3 linked regions of the Saccharomyces cerevisiae S288C genome follow. Changing the gene in region 1 together with any one later gene gives a genetic interaction. Each region holds a gene or a part of one and is shown on either strand. Other genes may lie near its edges.

Region 1 (5,665 bases):
TGGAAGAAGGTTACCGGTTACGGTAAGAGATTAGCCATTCTGCCACCAGACTATGTCTCGAACTACACTAATGAATACTTGTCCTGGCCAGAACCAGAAGAGGTTTCTGATCCTTTGGAAGCTCAAAGATTGATGGCTATTCATCAAGAAAAATGCAGACAGGAAGGTACTTTCAAGAGATTGGCTCTTCCAGCTTAAACGTGCTTCGTCACTCGTTCAGCCCAGCCTTCCTCTACGACTTGTTTATGATTTCACATTAGCTGTTGTTTCCTACTCGATATATAGACATACATATTTATGTATCAGAGCATGTATACAAGCTTTAAATGAACTCCCTTTATCTTAACACTTTATTTCCTCGCAAAATCAACACAATAAAAGATGCCTGCAAATGCATGAGCGGCAAAGTTTTCTCTAAGTATTTGAATCATCAAACTGTGTGTGTAAGCGTATATATAAACATTTTTCACATTATGAACATACTAAAACTATTGATTTGACTAATCTTCGAAGCTAATCTTGGCAGACATTTCGGTGAGAAATGAAGGTTTCTTGGTAACAGCTGGGTCATCTCCAATAAAATTAGTGGGAAATCCGACATCAAAAGGAACAATACTTTCTAAGTACTTTATTTGTTCTGGTGTTAATTTAATGCTCAAAGCCTCAATGTTCTGTTTGAGATGTTCGATCTTTCTTCCTCCCACTAATGGGAAAACATGTTTCGCTTTAGACCGAACATAAGCTATGGCAATAGCAGTGACAGACTCAGTGCCATGTTCTTCCGCAACTTTTAACAATGCTTCGCTGATTTTAACCTCCATATCCGTCTGTTCCGAAGTACCAAAAAAGGTACGCAAGCCTTCTCCTTTCTTCTTCCGCTCTTCCACTGCCTTTTTACTCTGAAATCTCCCGCCTCCCATAACATCCCATGGAGCAAGAGCCATACCAAAATGCCTAGCCATTGGAATGATATCACGTTCAAAGTCCCTGTTCAATACATTCCATTTACCTTGATAGATACTAAAGGGAGTTTTACCATGAGATGTGGCGTAGTAATTTGCTGCAGAAACAACCCAGGCAGGAGTATCAGACACACCTAGATAGAGTACTTTGCCCTGCTGCACAAGAATGTGCAAACTATCCATAACTTCCTCAATGGAGCTCATATAATCCCACCAGTGAACGTAAAGAATATCAATCCAATCAGTTTGCAACTTACGAAGGGAATCTCTCACACTTACATGCAAACTGCGCTTGTGATTCCCACAGAAATTGGCACTCTTCCCCTTGCCTACATCATACCCCTTATAATCCGTGGTAAATTTAGTGGCAATTACAATCTGGTCACGCAGTTTTCTTGATGCCATCCATTCACCGATCCAAGTCTCTGACTGCTCATACTAATAATTATTTGCAGTATCAATGAAATTTCCGCCTGCTTGGTAAAAAGCATCAAGTAGCTCAAAAGCTTGTTCTTTGTCCATTGATCCCATGAATCCAGACCAGGCGTCACCAATAGACATACCTCCCAGGATTAGTGGAGAAACTCTTATACCAGCTGTTTTAGATAGGACCCTAAGACGTCCTAACTCGGTAGGTGGTTCAGGTGCAGGTCCAAAAGCCTCAGACATTTCGAAGAGCACATTTTGCGGCGGTGGGTTATGAAGCTATTCAATTAATTAACCAGTCCCCAACCGAAGGTGAGAATCATATTGGGTAATACACCTTATTCCTAGTTGTGCCACTATCCTTTTATATGTTTTAAAATCCCGCTCCCTTAAATTTGTACAAGTGCAAGTAATGAAAGTTGTTCGATTTCGGTACGAAGTTTTCTTACCGGTTCCGTGCGAAAACAGCAGGGAAGTACTAGAATAGGCTTTTGAAGCATGCCACCCAGTCTGCACATTTACAGCGAACTTGTGGTGATATGTTTTCCCGTTACAATGATTATTGCGTGGACCCATAATTCACCCTTATTGTCTCTCCATAGTACCCCTTTTCGATATCATTTTCAAACAAACTAGAACTGATAAGATGTCCTGGACTCTTATAATCTATGTGACCACAAAATGGCTCACTAATTCCGAGCCCCAACAGTTGCAAGGCTTCCAATGGTAAACCCTTAAACACTCGCAAATCAGTCCCTAAGTGAAGATTTTCCTCTGGTTTCAAGTAGCTCTTTGTCATAAAAAAATATCCAGCAACTCTGTCTTGTGACGTACGATTTGCACTGGCTGCATGGTAGAGGCTCCCTAAGAATAGAACTGCGTCTCCCTTTGCAACATTAACGTGAAATTCCATCCTCTTGTCAAAGTTCCCACAGGAATCGTGCGGACCCCACAAATGTGAACCGACTATCATTCGCGTAGAGCCATTTTCTTTATTCATATCTGTAAAAGCTACACCTAACCCTACCATGGTTTCGGTTCCATACTGGAAACGTTCACATGCTTGATGGGTCGTATGATGAACAATATCTTCTCGGTGGTAGCCCTGGTCACTTGCACCAGCGCCAACCTTGTAGACTATACCGGAGTTCAGTTGAATATCACTAGTGCATTTATTAATCACCTTTCCCGCCGCAAAGTAGTTTTCTTCATTCAAAAAATGTTTTGAGATATCACAAAACATACGGTCGCATACCACATCCTTTAAGACTGTAGATGAGTGTAAAACCGATCTCGTTGCCACAGTAGTTTCCTTAGGAAACGGTGAGCCTTGCCATGATTCGTATCTATAAAAATGCGGTTCGATTTCTTTCAATATTTCATCACATCTGGAGGTCTCTATAAAATTCTTGACCACGCAAAGTCCGTATACTTCCATTTTTTCAATAATTGCTTTGTAATCGAACTTGTCTTCGACTGTGAATGCCTTTTGCGTTAAGCCAGGCTGGCATACGCCAAGATCTTCCTTTTTTTTCATATTAATGTATTTTTGGCCACCTATATTGTATGGCTCACTAAGGTTGTGTGAATCTGTGTTCATCGTATGGATTGCGTTTTGAATCTGTCCTGCTTGTACTTTGAGTAGGGGAAATCTCTCGTCTTAAGATCTCATGGATGTGCTTTATATACTTTATTAGTTTTACAGACGCGTCACCTGCTATCAACACATGACCTTAATGTTAGACTCTGATTAATTAAATATTCTATTTCTGTTGAGAATAAATTACTATTACTCCGGGGCAGCAGTACCTTCATTTTGAAGGAAAATGAGACAATCTTGCCTCTTTTCCAACGTAAAATTCTTTAGCAGCCCAATAATGCCTCACTTCGCGTTATGTCACTTATTTTTTTTTTCTTTGAGTCATGTATGGACGACTACTAGCCACACCGGTGCTGAAAATCTATAAAAAACTTTGATTCATAACCCAATTTTGACTATCCTCATTAATTTTAGCAATTTCGCCTGTAGTATGTTCATAACTGCAGAATTCTACGTTATGGCAGTACTTCTTTACGTTGTTTTACCAAAAGGTATTATTTTTCGAGAAGCTTTTCAACCTGCCTAAGTTAGTAAACCCTTTTCGCTTTTTTCAACATTCTATGGCTTTTCCCTAGCACTGACATATCTGTAAGTTGATTGCGTGGGACGTCTAGCGCAGGTTTTGAGAAGTTTCCAACAGGCATATCTAGCTTGATATTATTAGGGGTCTATCTGAATCGCTTATGTAAACAAATATTCAACTAGCTTTTCTGTCACTGCAATCGGTAAAATTTTAAACGGCCGTTTCTGCATGTACGCCAACTCACAGTTAAAGCATTCAAAAATTCAAAGGAATTACTAGTAACGCATATTACAAATTCTTTAAACATAAATACTAAGCTATATTGAGCCAAGAACATTCGTTGAATTTTTTTTCCGCCAGTAATGAAAGATATAGTTCGAACTAGGGTAATTGTACTCACGATGGGAGAAATAATAAAAAAATCAATATCTAAAGTCTGACGTACCGTAAAGTTTTCATCACGAACTATGGCGAAGGTTGATGAGACTCTCTAAAATTATTTTGATTTTTGAAGGACGTTTCCCTAATAATTATTAGGGAAAACAGTGCCTTGTCACAGATGAACTGGAATGTACGAGTTAAGGATACTCATATACAACTGCGAATTATGTAATTACATCTATTTTCAGCTTTTGCTATATATTGCATAATTCGGCAGACTTAGTTTATAACAAGAGGCAAAGTAAATAGCCTTTAAAATTTCAATATTGCAGACAACACAATATCGATAAACATAAAATGGAGAAGGCCTTAAAGATATTTTGGCTTTTTTCTCACTGGCTCGATGGGTAACAATGGTCAAAAAAACAGGGCTATTATTTGAGTCAGCGAAGTTTCACAATTGTGTCATATTGGTAGATGCACTGATATTACCGAAGACTTTGTCATTACTTTCTCATGTACGCTGGATTAACGCTATTGAGGACGGTTTTTTATGTAACTTTTTCAGCCGCAGCGTTTTGTAGGCAGATGAAGTGCGCTCATTCGTTTCAATTGTAGTACTTAGTCGCATTTACCATTTTTTTTACCAATTATTGACCTTCCTGTTTCAGACGATCCCAAGGGTCCAGAATGAAACATAAACTATAGTCTTGAACAGAGATTTTCTTCTCAATTAGGACTTTTAGGCTCTCATTGTTGCTATCCGGATGAGCATAGCGTATCTCTATTATTAAATGGCAAAAAAGATACCAACTTGATACAAATCAACAGTAATAATTAGACCTGAATTTACAAAAAAACCCAGCATAAATTGCCGAACAAATACCAATATTTTCCTGCATCTTTGTTCTGTTATGTATTGAATAGTAAAGAAAAGAAAAGAAGGTATGTATAGTCATATGAGTACTTTAAAAGAGGATTAACAGCTTGCACCAGATCCAGATGGGATTCCAGAACATCCAGAATAGGAAGAACCACCGGTAATTGACACCCCAGACCATTGCCAGTTAGTAGCGTTTTTCACCAAAATTTTAACCCTCTTCGCTGTGGAGTTCACGCTCCCGGTGATATCCTTCATTACTAAATTCGAAATGGGAACGCCACCTGTAGCAGTTCCAGTAGTCTTACTATTCAAATAATCGCCTTCGATAACAATACCATAACTTTTTATGCCGCTAATTTTATTACTGATAAAGTTGACATTAGTGACTGTGCCTGTCGCACCTTCTACGGTTTTTATTCTCAACCCGTTGTCAGAGTTGATAACATGGTTATTTTCAGCCCAGAAACCATTGACTGTATTATCAGAACGGCCACCAACAGAACCTACAGAAATACCATGGCCATTGTAGCAGTAGTTGTTCATAAATTTAATAGTTGAACCGGAATTCACAGCAATACAGTCATCCTGATTATAAACAGTACATCCTTGAATTAAGACGTTACTAGAACTACCAACATCAAACCCATCCGTATTATGACCACCAGCCGAATCACCGTCTCTGATATCAATTGTTATGTCGCTGATGGTTAAATCTGAACATTTATTGATGCTGAAGACTTGGTGTGGAGCATTTTTAATATTCAATCCGGTGACCTTAGATGTTCCCGTCAACGCCAACTTTACAAACTTCGGTTTGACTTTACCGCTATCACCTAAGCCATCCCACCATTTTGCTCCTTGACCATCAATGGTATGTCCCGAAGCACCAA
Region 2 (5,568 bases), on another chromosome or scaffold:
ATGAGAGTTCAGTTCCGTGGCTAACAAAAATGAATATATGCATTTCAGTGCTAATAAATTTCCTTGAATATACCGATTTCATGTCTTGGATGCAGGATAATTAGAAATTTCTATTTAACACTGCAGAAAACTGTGTTCATTTAAAGAAATTCTTGCGGGTTAATGCTATTATGATATTTTCTGTTGATTTGGTGATAAATTATATTATATGCTATATACTAATTCCTTTGGAAATAAAAGAAGGCCTTAAAATTACCCTGCGGAGGGGACTATTAAATAGAATCATTTATATGAATACTAAGGAGAGTTCAGTATCAAGATAACAACGAAAGTTTGAACTGCTAAAATTATTTTCAAGTATTGCTGACCGTTAAGAAATTTTCTGCTCCATTAATTCATTGAGGCGAAGACAAGCGCACTTTTACTCTTGTGTTTATAAAGCTAAATGACATTGTGGCTCACTTCAATAGCCGTACTCTTTGAACTAAAAAATAATTCTAAGACACTGAGTTTCACGTCAATTGAAAAAAAATATATAACACCAGCTTCATTACATGTTAGTGTGCCTTTAATTTGGCGTTAATACATTCTCCTTGACACATACTATACATTGATTCTGTGATGAGTACCGATATAGGAGGCCGATGTGCTGTTCTTCTAGACGAGTTTTTTGTAGCTAAATGACATAGGTGACTGCTTTAATTTCGTAAAGCACCAAACTTCAAAGGCTCTGTGTACACTCTACAGCCGTGACTGAGAAAAAGGCTAGGTACTTTAAAAATTTCCTACAAATATAGATCAGGGAGGGCAGTACTTAAAGAAGAAACTCCTTCCAAAGGGTCTGGAAATCATTATTAGGGCCGTCATTACGACTTAAGAGCACTTTGAAATCAGTACCCTCTGTTCAACGTGAACAAAAATTTTCGCCACACGACACTTTTCTGGATGGGCGTGATTGTATTAGCTGCCATGGTTCAGTAGTCTTCAATTCAGTGACATACTTTATTGTCATGAGACCACTCAACAGCAACAATATAAGAGCAGAGAGACATTCCAAGGGACAAGAAGATATAAGTTTTGACGTTCAGGAATCTTTTATCCAGTCTGTCTTTATTTGAATGTTTTATTAGACTTCAGAAGTATCCCGATATGTACAAGAATCTTTCTCAACGAGCTACTTTTCTCTTAATCTTGATTGTGTTTGTGATGCCACTTAACAATGCGGAATCTAACGAGTGTTTACAAATATTTTGTTCTCGGCGAAAAATTCAATACATTGCCTTCCTTTTCGGTGCATGATTGTACGGCTGAGAATGGAGAAATAGTACCGCCTAGATCTTTCGTTTTAATGGCTTCAAAGCAGAAGAGGAAAGATTTTTATTCTAAATGAAGTTAAAATTGATTGGCTGCACTACATAGAAATCAAAATTTGATATATATTATCTAATTACTTAACGTTTGACACTCCTTTATAACATCGAATACGTTGCCGAAAAAGGATCCCACACTAAATGCTATTATTACCAATAACATAGGTACAGCATCGAAGACATATATGAAATACTCATGAGAGATTATATAGCCATTGAATCCCTGAATAAATTCAACTATTCGGACAATTGAACGTAGTAGGATCAACATACTGCTTAATAATAGGGTAGCATTCACAAAGATCCACTTTCTGGAAATATCTTCGTAAAATAAGCATCTCCTTTTAACATTTACTGTGAATCTTATCTCATTGATAATGAAAAATCCAAAAAAAATTACCTGTACAAAAAGACCCGCAGTTATGAGTCCTGAACCAGTCTTCGTTGATCCTGCCTTAGACATTAGTCCGCCACCTGCAGCTTGTAAAAAGAAACTAAACACATCTCCCACAACAAAGAAAGTCGTACCAAAGCGTGCAGAAATCAAAATTAAAGATTGGCACCTCATAACATGTAATAACCTTCCAAAAATCATATAAATCGTCGCAGCTATTAGTGCTGGAGCGACTAATAAAAGAACAGATTGGATAATATATGGGGTCGTTCTTTCAGGATTGGAACTGGATAGAGCCCTCCCGATATACCCGACAGCTTCCATGATGCAGCCAGTGAAGAAAGGTATAAACGCAAAAACTGTGGGTGTGATTTTTAGTTGCTTGTATTCAGCATCCTCAAGACTATCGACCTTATCATCAGATGACTCAAATGGATTATTTTTCAATGCCTTAGAAGATTTTCTCGCAGCATATAAAGTTTGAACGGCAAAAATGACTGTCATTATAATGAAGAGTACGACAAATACGATTGCAGCCGCTTTACTTGGCGTATAGTGGTAAAGTACGAACCCCGAATCAGTTGTGGACATTTTGGAACGTTGATGGACAATAAAAGATTAAGTAGCTATGTAATTGGACACTATTAACCTACTATCCTGGACATTTTGAGGCAAGAGACTATACATCCCACAATTGATTCGGTAGGTGCTTTTATACTGATTCATTTGAGGTCTTGGCATTTGTTCAATTGAAGTACATTTAGTTGAAAAGTTGAGATTTATTTAGGATGAGCTTGCCGCGGCATGGGGAAAGAAACACTTCATCCTGTATGGAGAAAAACCACTTTGCCGCGGCACATCAAAACAGGGCTGAAACCTTCAGTATGCGCGATACCATTACACGACAATCGCATGGCTTAGTCATAATAGATCGAGGCGCTCATATACATGGCAGCCACAATATTTGAAGGTCGACAAATAAGGACAATATCAACGGTTAGGATACCGAAACTTGAATATGGCTGGTTTCTCAGGAACAGCCGATACTGTCCTGATCTTAACTTAAGGTGCGGTGAAGTAACCTGGATTCAACGCTGCATGAAAGACCTGATTAGGCTTATTTGATAATCCAACAAAAAAAGTGATTGGTTGGTTTGCTAGTATTCAAAAATAACTATTTTGGAGTACTTTGTTTGTTTGAAAGGCTGGGTAATAATTTTTTTGATGTGTGCTTTGAACAGTAAAAACTTTCTTCCTTTCTATAAGCTAGAAGCAAATCCAAATCTCATCGAATAAGCGCATTAGGTTAACGACATTATTGTTGTTTAAATTTTAAGCTTTTTAGCTTTTTATATTTTATTGAGATGGCAGCAAAAAGAGGATTAGCCAAACAAAAATCTAGGGTAACCAAGGCCTGTGATAGATGCCATAGGAAAAAGATTAAGTGCAACAGTAAGAAGCCATGTTTTGGGTGTATTGGGTCTCAATCAAAATGTACGTATAGAAATCAATTTCGTGAACCGATTGAGGCTTTTTTCAATTATACTGGTAGTCTCAGTAATGATTTGGATAATGCTAAGTGCAGCATAGCAAAATTGAAGGCACAGTTACCTCCAAGCGCACCGGCCTCTTTACAGAAAGGCCTAGCAAACATTTGCACTGAGCTTGAAAAAATACAACCTCAGCTTTACCTCAATCTGGACAGTAAGGAAATTAGCTCGTATGGTGGCCTGAAATCGATAGAAACAGAAATTATCGGGAAACAGTCAAAATCTTTGAATAGGTTCTCCAACGCTTTTGAAAGCAATACTGCACAAAATGTCAGTATGTACTTTGGGGTCTATTCACCGTTGCTATATTTTGCCTCTACGGGTATTAGCTGGATAACTAAAAAATTGATTTCATGTTCGAATGATAGGGAGACGAGAGAAACTATCTATTTATTTTTGAAGTTTCTTGACGCTAGCTCTGCTAGCCATGCTGGTCCTAAAGTAACTTCGATATCTCCTTTAGAGTATTATTCAAAGCTAAACGGACTTTCATGTGGGAACGACGTACTTATTCAACACATTATGTCAAATATATCGAATGAAATCAAAGGAAATACAAACATTAACCAAACAATCAAATTCAATAAACCAACAGACTGGTTTATGTACGGAGTACAATTGATGGAACAGCACCACAAGGCGTTGGATCGTAAAAGTTCCAAAAAATTACTTCCTTTGAAATATTTTCTTGAGCAAGATGAGTTGATTTTTTGTCTCTGTCTTGAATATTTTGAAAGATCCCTATTTTCGACAATGTACGACTTGACTATTTTAAAGGGCTTAGTCTCGTTGATGAAACACAGATATTGGATAGACGATCCTTTTGTGCTGGGAAGAATTATTTCCACGATGTCCAGGCGAAGTTTGGATGCTGGTTTGAATCGTTGGGAATATTATATTGGTCAGGATGAGGACACTGCCGAAGAATATCGTAAGTTATGGTGGGACTGCTACTGGTGGGATAGATGGTATTCATTGGTCACCGGTAAGCAGCCATTGATACCACATGAAATGACTTCGTGTCTCTTTCCCAAGGATGTGGTTGGATTAGGGGTAGATGATTCGATGGACTGTTTTACTTTAATAAACTTGGTGGAGCTCGACCCAAGTAAGTTTGATATTTGTATCTCTTTCGGCTATATTCTATTAACGAAAATTATTACAGCGGTATTCTCTGGTTTGCTTTATAATCGACACTTTACAGACTACAGATTATTTGCAACTCCTAACGCTAAAGACCTAAATGGAACCGCACGACAGCTTATGGTAGAGTTTTCAAAAATATGTAAAATTTTTCAGTGCATACAAGACAAACTAATCCCTTTCCTCAAACAATATTCTGAAAATAGTAATGTATTTGAACTATACACCCATTTCGGATTTGCAAAGGTTTGTTGTTTTCAGGGAATGGAGAGTTTAATTTTAAGGATACAAAATCTTCTACAAGAAAGAGAGAGAATTGAACTTGATTCCTGCGTAAAGGACATCAGGCTTCAAACCTTTGAAGCATCTGTAGATATTTTGACGGATGTTCTCAAGCACGAAGATACGTTCTATATTTTCCGTTGTTCGTGGTTCATATATGCCATCTTGATGAATATTACCTTGAATTTTATCGAGACCCCTAGAAGGAACTCGATATGTTATTTATCCTTGATGTGCCGCATGATAGCCTCATATAATGACTTATTTGTGAGCTCTGGCAATGTTAATTTCAAGGGCAACAACGCCTTCTCTAAAAAGTTGGAAAATGGAACAGCGGTTTCTTTCATCCTAACACGCATCTGCTGTCAGATGTACACACGTTCACAGAAAATGGCTAAGGAATCGCTGTTTTGTGAATTGAAAAAATATGGCCAGGCTTGCTCAGATGCTGGTCAAGCTGCGTTGGACATTGAATGTATCTGGTACAGGAATATTATAGGCGAACACAAAGAATCAAGCTTCCGTAAAGAAATTCTCAGCATTCTTGATAGGGAAATGGGTGATTTGGTGAATAATAGAGTTATTGGCGTACAGGGAAAAAATCAAGAAGGTGCTTGTTATGAGAAGTTGTCACCCAGCAGCACCAGTGTTTCAGTTGGCATGGACTTTTGTAGCCTCGAAAATTTTGTGACTGCAGAATCTCTACCAGACCTTCTCAATCTATTTTGGGAGGACACTGAATTTGGTATTACTAAAGAAAACCTCGGAGAGTAAAAACCAAGTATGCACCTAAACAATTGATCACTTTCAATTAGGAAATAAAATCCCT
Region 3 (5,620 bases), on another chromosome or scaffold:
GATTTGCTCTACAAGCATCGCTCATGAGTGCACAGCTTCAAATTACCAAAGATCGTCCAGAAGCTGCTATGGACTTTATTGAAGTAACAGCTTTCAATACATTCATGAAGTCATTAGGTACAACTCTTGGTGGTGTGCTTTCAACCACTGTTTTTTCCGCCTCCTTTCACAATAAAGTATCACGAGCTCATCTAGAGCCTTACGAAGGAAAAACGGTTGATGACATGATTTTGTATCGTCTTCAAAACTACGACGGTTCTCATTCGACTATTGGAAACATTTTAAGCGACTCCATTAAGAACGTATTTTGGATGGATCTAGGGTTTTATGCCTTAGGATTTTTGTTTTGTAGTTTTTCATCCAATAAGAAATTAATCATACCAAAAAAGGACGATACACCAGAAGATAATTTAGAAGACAAGTAGCGCAGTTATTTTCTTATTTTCATTTTATTTTTTTTCGCCTTTTATACAGACTTCAACACAATCAGAATCAAATAGGTGTATCGCAATGGAATGTAATTTCTTAAGTATTCTATATGTACTTAAAACCTATTAATATATGGATCAGTAGTTCATAAAATTCATGCTGGTGCGTTCAAAGATGTGTCTTTAGTAAGAAATCTGGAAAATTCGCGAGCCTGAATATACTCATCGCAGTGCAAGAAAAAGGTTGTCTTCTTTTCTTTTCTTGACAAAAATGCAGCGATAACCTGTAAAGAGAATCTCAAATAGACACATGATAGCAGCTGCGTAATAACAGACCTCAACCGCAATCACATTAAAGGCGTAAGCAAATTTGGCCAGCAAAATTTTCGTTTGTTCCTCGACATAAATTCTCATCAGAAAAACTGTTTACTGTCAGTGCTTTTGTCTTTGCCGCCAATACGGCAGAGAATTACATAGTATACTACGATAAACTTCTATAAATTTAAATATAGATAAAAATAGCACGATATGAACCACGGTACTCTCCAATAGTATACTTGCGATAAAATCAGCAGCTAAGTACTGAATAAGCATTTAAATTATGGTATTTTTTTTTTGCTCCTGCTGAATATTCGGGATTCTTAACGAGAGAGTTTCTTTTGTGATGATATAATATTATTTTCTAGTATAAGTAAAACTATCAAAAAAAAGTAATAATAACGTAGCTTGTTTATATACCATAAAATGTACCAGCAAAATTTTGTTTGGCACAGACAGGTTCAAAGGAGTTATTTCTTAAAGTTCTCAAAAAAAGTAGTGGATTAGGACATATAGCCCTGAAAAGTTAAAAGCGACTTCCTGAATGCCTTCTAATTACACACAAATATATGACGTAAGCAGATCGTATACTTCGTAGCTAGAACTGGAATGAATAAAAATAGGAAATTCTAGTTGTCTTATCTTTTATTATCGAATGAGACTTTAGCCAACTCGAAAAGGTTTTCGAACTCGCCACTCTGCCTACAGAGGCGGTAAAAAATGGTATTTCGATCAGATATTAGAGTGTATGGATGATCATACTCCTTGACTCTGCCCATTTCCATCACCAGAATTTTGTCATAATCTATTACTGACCTTAATCGATGAGCAATAGTCAAAATTGTTGTATTTTTCATTGTTTCTCTTATAGTTTTCTGAATTTTAGCATCAGAAATATAATCTATTGAGGCGGTTGCTTCGTCAATTAGCATTATATTACGTGCACCAAGCATGGATCGTGCCAAGCACAAAAGTTGTCTTTGCCCTTGAGATAAGTTTGAACCACCTGATTTCACAACAGTATTCAAATCAATGAATCTATTTCTTAGTTTATGACTAGAAAAATTAGGCTGCTCTTGCTCAAAAATCAAGCACAATTCATCGCATTCTTCAATTAATCCCACTTTGGATAGTACGCCATAAATTTGTACATCAGAATACCGATCGAAAGGATCTAAATTAGATCGAACAGTTCCATCAAATAAAGTAGGATCCTGTGGGATGCAGCTTATAGAATTTCTTAAACGCTCTAAAGGGATATGTTTTATGTCTTTGTTATCAATAGTAATCGTACCGTTTTCCCAGTCTGAAAGCCGGTAAATAGCCGCTATAATAGAAGATTTCCCAGCCCCTGTTCTACCAACAATACCAACTTTTGTTCCTGCTTTTACCTTGAATGATACATTATCTAGTGCCTTAGAGGAATGAGGAGAATAGCGCAATGATAAGTTTTTTAGTTCAACATCTCCTGTTTGAGGCCAATTAGCTGGAGGTGATATGTAGCCGTTTGATTCGGAAGGTATATCTGTATATTCTTTTATTCTCTCTACTGAACTCATCAAAAGTTCAACGCTTGAAAATACTTTTATGATCCATTGAGCAGTTTCAGTAAAGGAAAAGGCATTCGATAACAGTATCCCCGCTAGCCCCGCATCCAACTATGAGGCCTTCATTATGATCATTACAGAAGAACTAAAAAGAACAAGTGTCCCAATTATATCCACTCTATATGTGATCCACTCGGTGGCCATATTGAGATAAAAAAATGGAGCATTACTTCTGTCAATTGCAACCAAAGATTGAGTGATAAACCTACGCTCATCTGCTAATGCTCTAATTGTAGTTACTCCTTTGATGGCTTCAGCGAATAACTGGTGTATTGGAGAGATATTGATGTTATCTATTCTCTTCAACTCTCTAGATGCACGAAGATATAACGTACATACGGTATAATAAAGAGCGCATAAAGGAATAGCAAATAACAGAAATTGAGGAGTAACATATCCAATTAAAAGTATAATCCACAGACAAACAACGACGCTATAAGAGAGTCCTTCGAAATTAGGGATCAATTGTTGATCAATAATATCCATATCCTTGCTAAATCTGTTCATTATTCTTCCAGTCGGCGTGACATTATGAAAACGTAACTTGGCATATAAGATACTGGATAGAAGCTTCGCAAATATTTTCTTGGTGACGTTGGTACCTGAAATTATTGCTATCCAAACTTTACCAGAAGTTAAAAATGAAGAAACAAGACCTATGATAATATAAGTCAGTAAGAAATAGATGTTAGAGTGACCCTCAACTATTCTATAAAGCCAGGTAGACTTACTCCCTGAAGATCCAGTGTCCAGCCAGTATCTGAGCCAAAAGCCCTGAGACAGTGTGATTCCATGAATAAGGATGGAGGACGAGGTGAAAACAAAAACAACTCCCAGTCCCCCGAAATAGTCTGCTAACCATTTGTAAGCTGAAAATTTAACTGATCCTTCCATTTTTGTTTCCTCAAAATTTTCAACTTCAGCACACACTTCGTCTTGCGAGTTCCCTCCCTCGGGATCTCCATTCTTAGTTTTCTTTGATGTTGTTGATCTTTTCAAGTCAATTTGATTGTGAGTTGTATTTTTTGAATCATTGTTTATGCTTTCCCTCAAAAACTCATTAGATTTAATGAGGTCCGATGGTTTACCCTGTGATTTCACCTCGCCACGATCTAAAATCACAAGCCAGTCAGCCCGTTTCGTAACTAAAGAAATATTATGACTCGTAATGATGCAGGTCCTTCCTTTCATCATGGGGCCGCATAAACACTCTTCATATATATAAAGTGCAGTTTCAGGATCTACTGCACTCAAGCAATCATCAAGGATCAAATACCTGGAAGAGGAGTAAATTGCTCTGGCTAAAGCAATCCTTTGCTGCTGTCCGCCAGATAAGGAAAATCCTCCATCACCCACGTCTGTTCTTATGCCAGCTGTCATTGCTTTGATATCTTTGTCAAGACAACAGGATTTCATTACATCATCAAATTTTTGTTTGTTGAAGATTTCTCCAAAAACAACGTTATCTTTAATTGTTCCACTAATCAACCACGGAGTTTGAGAACAATATGCCATTGAATTCGTCATTCCGTCTTTACCAATCTCTAAGTCGTCGCGGGATTCAACTGTAGGTACGTATATTTTTCCAGAAAGAAGGTTCAATTCTCCCAATAGTCCAAGTAATAGCGAAGACTTTCCTGACCCAGTCGGACCTATAATTGCGTTGAGACTATTCAGCTTAAAATCAATAGAAATGTTCTTAAGTTTAAAACTTGTTTCAGCAGCTTCCCATTCCATGCTTGCATCTTCAAAGCCAAATTTAGTATTGCTTTGTTCCAAAATCTCATATTTTCTTGTTTCTGATTCATTAAGATAATCCTGGATTCTTTCAAGAGAAATAAAAGACTGTATCAAAAGGCTGACAGTCGAAGCAATTTGGTCCATGGGTGTCCTCAATATTGCAAATAAAGAAAGAGCTGTAAATGCTATTGTAGGAGTAAGTGTCTGATTTTGGAATTTAATAAACACTGAGAATGTTATTGCAGAGACCAAAGTGGGCCCAAAGAACCAAATGAGATGGTTCAAAAAGAAAATTGTTGCCTTCTTTTTAAGGAGTCTTATTTCCCCATCTCTTACGTTTATAATCTTTTGATAAAACAGATTTTCCCATGCCAGTAGCTTTATTACACGTATTGAGTTCAGAGCCTCACTAATCCCAGAGGTACGCTTGTCAGTTAGGATTAATTGATCGGCCTGATAGTTCCCGTAAAAAGTTGCACACCAAAAATTCAAAGGAATCATGGCAAGAAGAGCAAAGGTACCAGCAAAGGCGGACCATCCCAGTAGGGAATATAGTATCATTAGGGCCGTAACTGTCATGAAAACTGCTTCACATGCCAGATAAAAAGTGTTCATAGCTTCAGAAACCTTGAAAGCGTCAATTGACATAACATTGTTCACAGAGTTGTCTTTCCTACTAGACTTTTTTCTAGGTTCCGCTTCAGAAGAGTCAGGATTTTCTTCAAAGGATGTTGACGCATTTTTTTGAAGTGACGTTGTTGAGTCTTTTAGAATTGTTCTTCTTAAGGTTTTGGAATAGATATTGGATATCAAAACTGTTCTTAGTTGCATAGTACCCTTTTCACCTAAAAACAATCCTTGACCTCTACAAGTCGTGGCAATGATTTTACTGACGAGCATAGATGAGACGTATAAAGACACCAAGTTCCATGATTTTGACTTTGGGTCATTAACGTATGATAGTATTCTTGGCATCAACAATGAGGGTACAAAGTTCAAAAAACTAGATACAAAAGCCAGAAATAATTGGGAGATGAAAACAGCCTTAAAATAACAAATAATGTTTGGAAGGAGCCTTCCTTTTTTAGAAGACATTTCAAAGTTCGCCAAAATTGCTATAGACTTATTATTAATATCCAAATCCCAAATATCAGCGTTTCCAAGGCAGTGTTTGTATGCTTTCCAAATAAGCCGATCAATCCTAGAAAAAGTAAGAAGGCCAAAGACGGTAGGAGCCGGTGGCAACTTTTTGTTCTCATTTTCAACCAAAAATGAGTACCTAGTTCCTTCTATACTTGACGTTGATAATAATAATAAAAGCGCTAAATCAATGAAAGTCTCGGAAATGATATATTTGACCATAATTTTATCTTTTATCTTTCCAATGAAGACGGAACGAAGAGGTAAAATCGAAAGAGTAAACAGGGATGCATATGAGTAAAACGAAACAGCCCATAAATCACGCTTACATGCTAAAACCCACCGAAATGACTGGCTTGCTGAAATTAAACGAAGTGTAATAACAAC

Evidence for each region.
Region 2: mutations in AAD10 (region 1) and PUG1 together harm fitness more than expected from each alone (negative genetic interaction), as found in Saccharomyces cerevisiae (one large-scale study listed by BioGRID).
Region 3: mutations in AAD10 (region 1) and YKR104W together harm fitness more than expected from each alone (negative genetic interaction), as found in Saccharomyces cerevisiae (one large-scale study listed by BioGRID).

The regions. Positions count from the first base shown.
Region 1 is NC_001142.9:723,107-728,771, reverse strand, and holds AAD10 (putative aryl-alcohol dehydrogenase), read right to left. Parts: upstream 1,368-5,665; coding exon 501-1,367; downstream 1-500. Other genes in the region: THI11 (4-amino-5-hydroxymethyl-2-methylpyrimidine phosphate synthase), read left to right, coding at 1-198; YJR154W (uncharacterized protein), read right to left, coding at 1,948-2,988; PGU1 (endo-polygalacturonase), read right to left, coding at 4,872-5,665.
Region 2 is NC_001137.3:556,241-561,808, reverse strand, and holds PUG1 (Pug1p), read right to left. Parts: upstream 2,356-5,568; coding exon 1,444-2,355; downstream 1-1,443. Other genes in the region: YER186C (uncharacterized protein), read left to right, coding at 1-104; TOG1 (Tog1p), read left to right, coding at 3,129-5,513. UniProt on the Saccharomyces cerevisiae protein: Involved in inducible protoporphyrin IX influx and heme efflux.
Region 3 is NC_001143.9:653,521-659,140, reverse strand, and holds YKR104W (uncharacterized protein), read right to left. Parts: upstream 2,306-5,620; coding exon 1,385-2,305; downstream 1-1,384. Other genes in the region: VBA5 (basic amino acid transporter), read left to right, coding at 1-425; putative multidrug transporter NFT1, read right to left, coding at 2,405-5,620.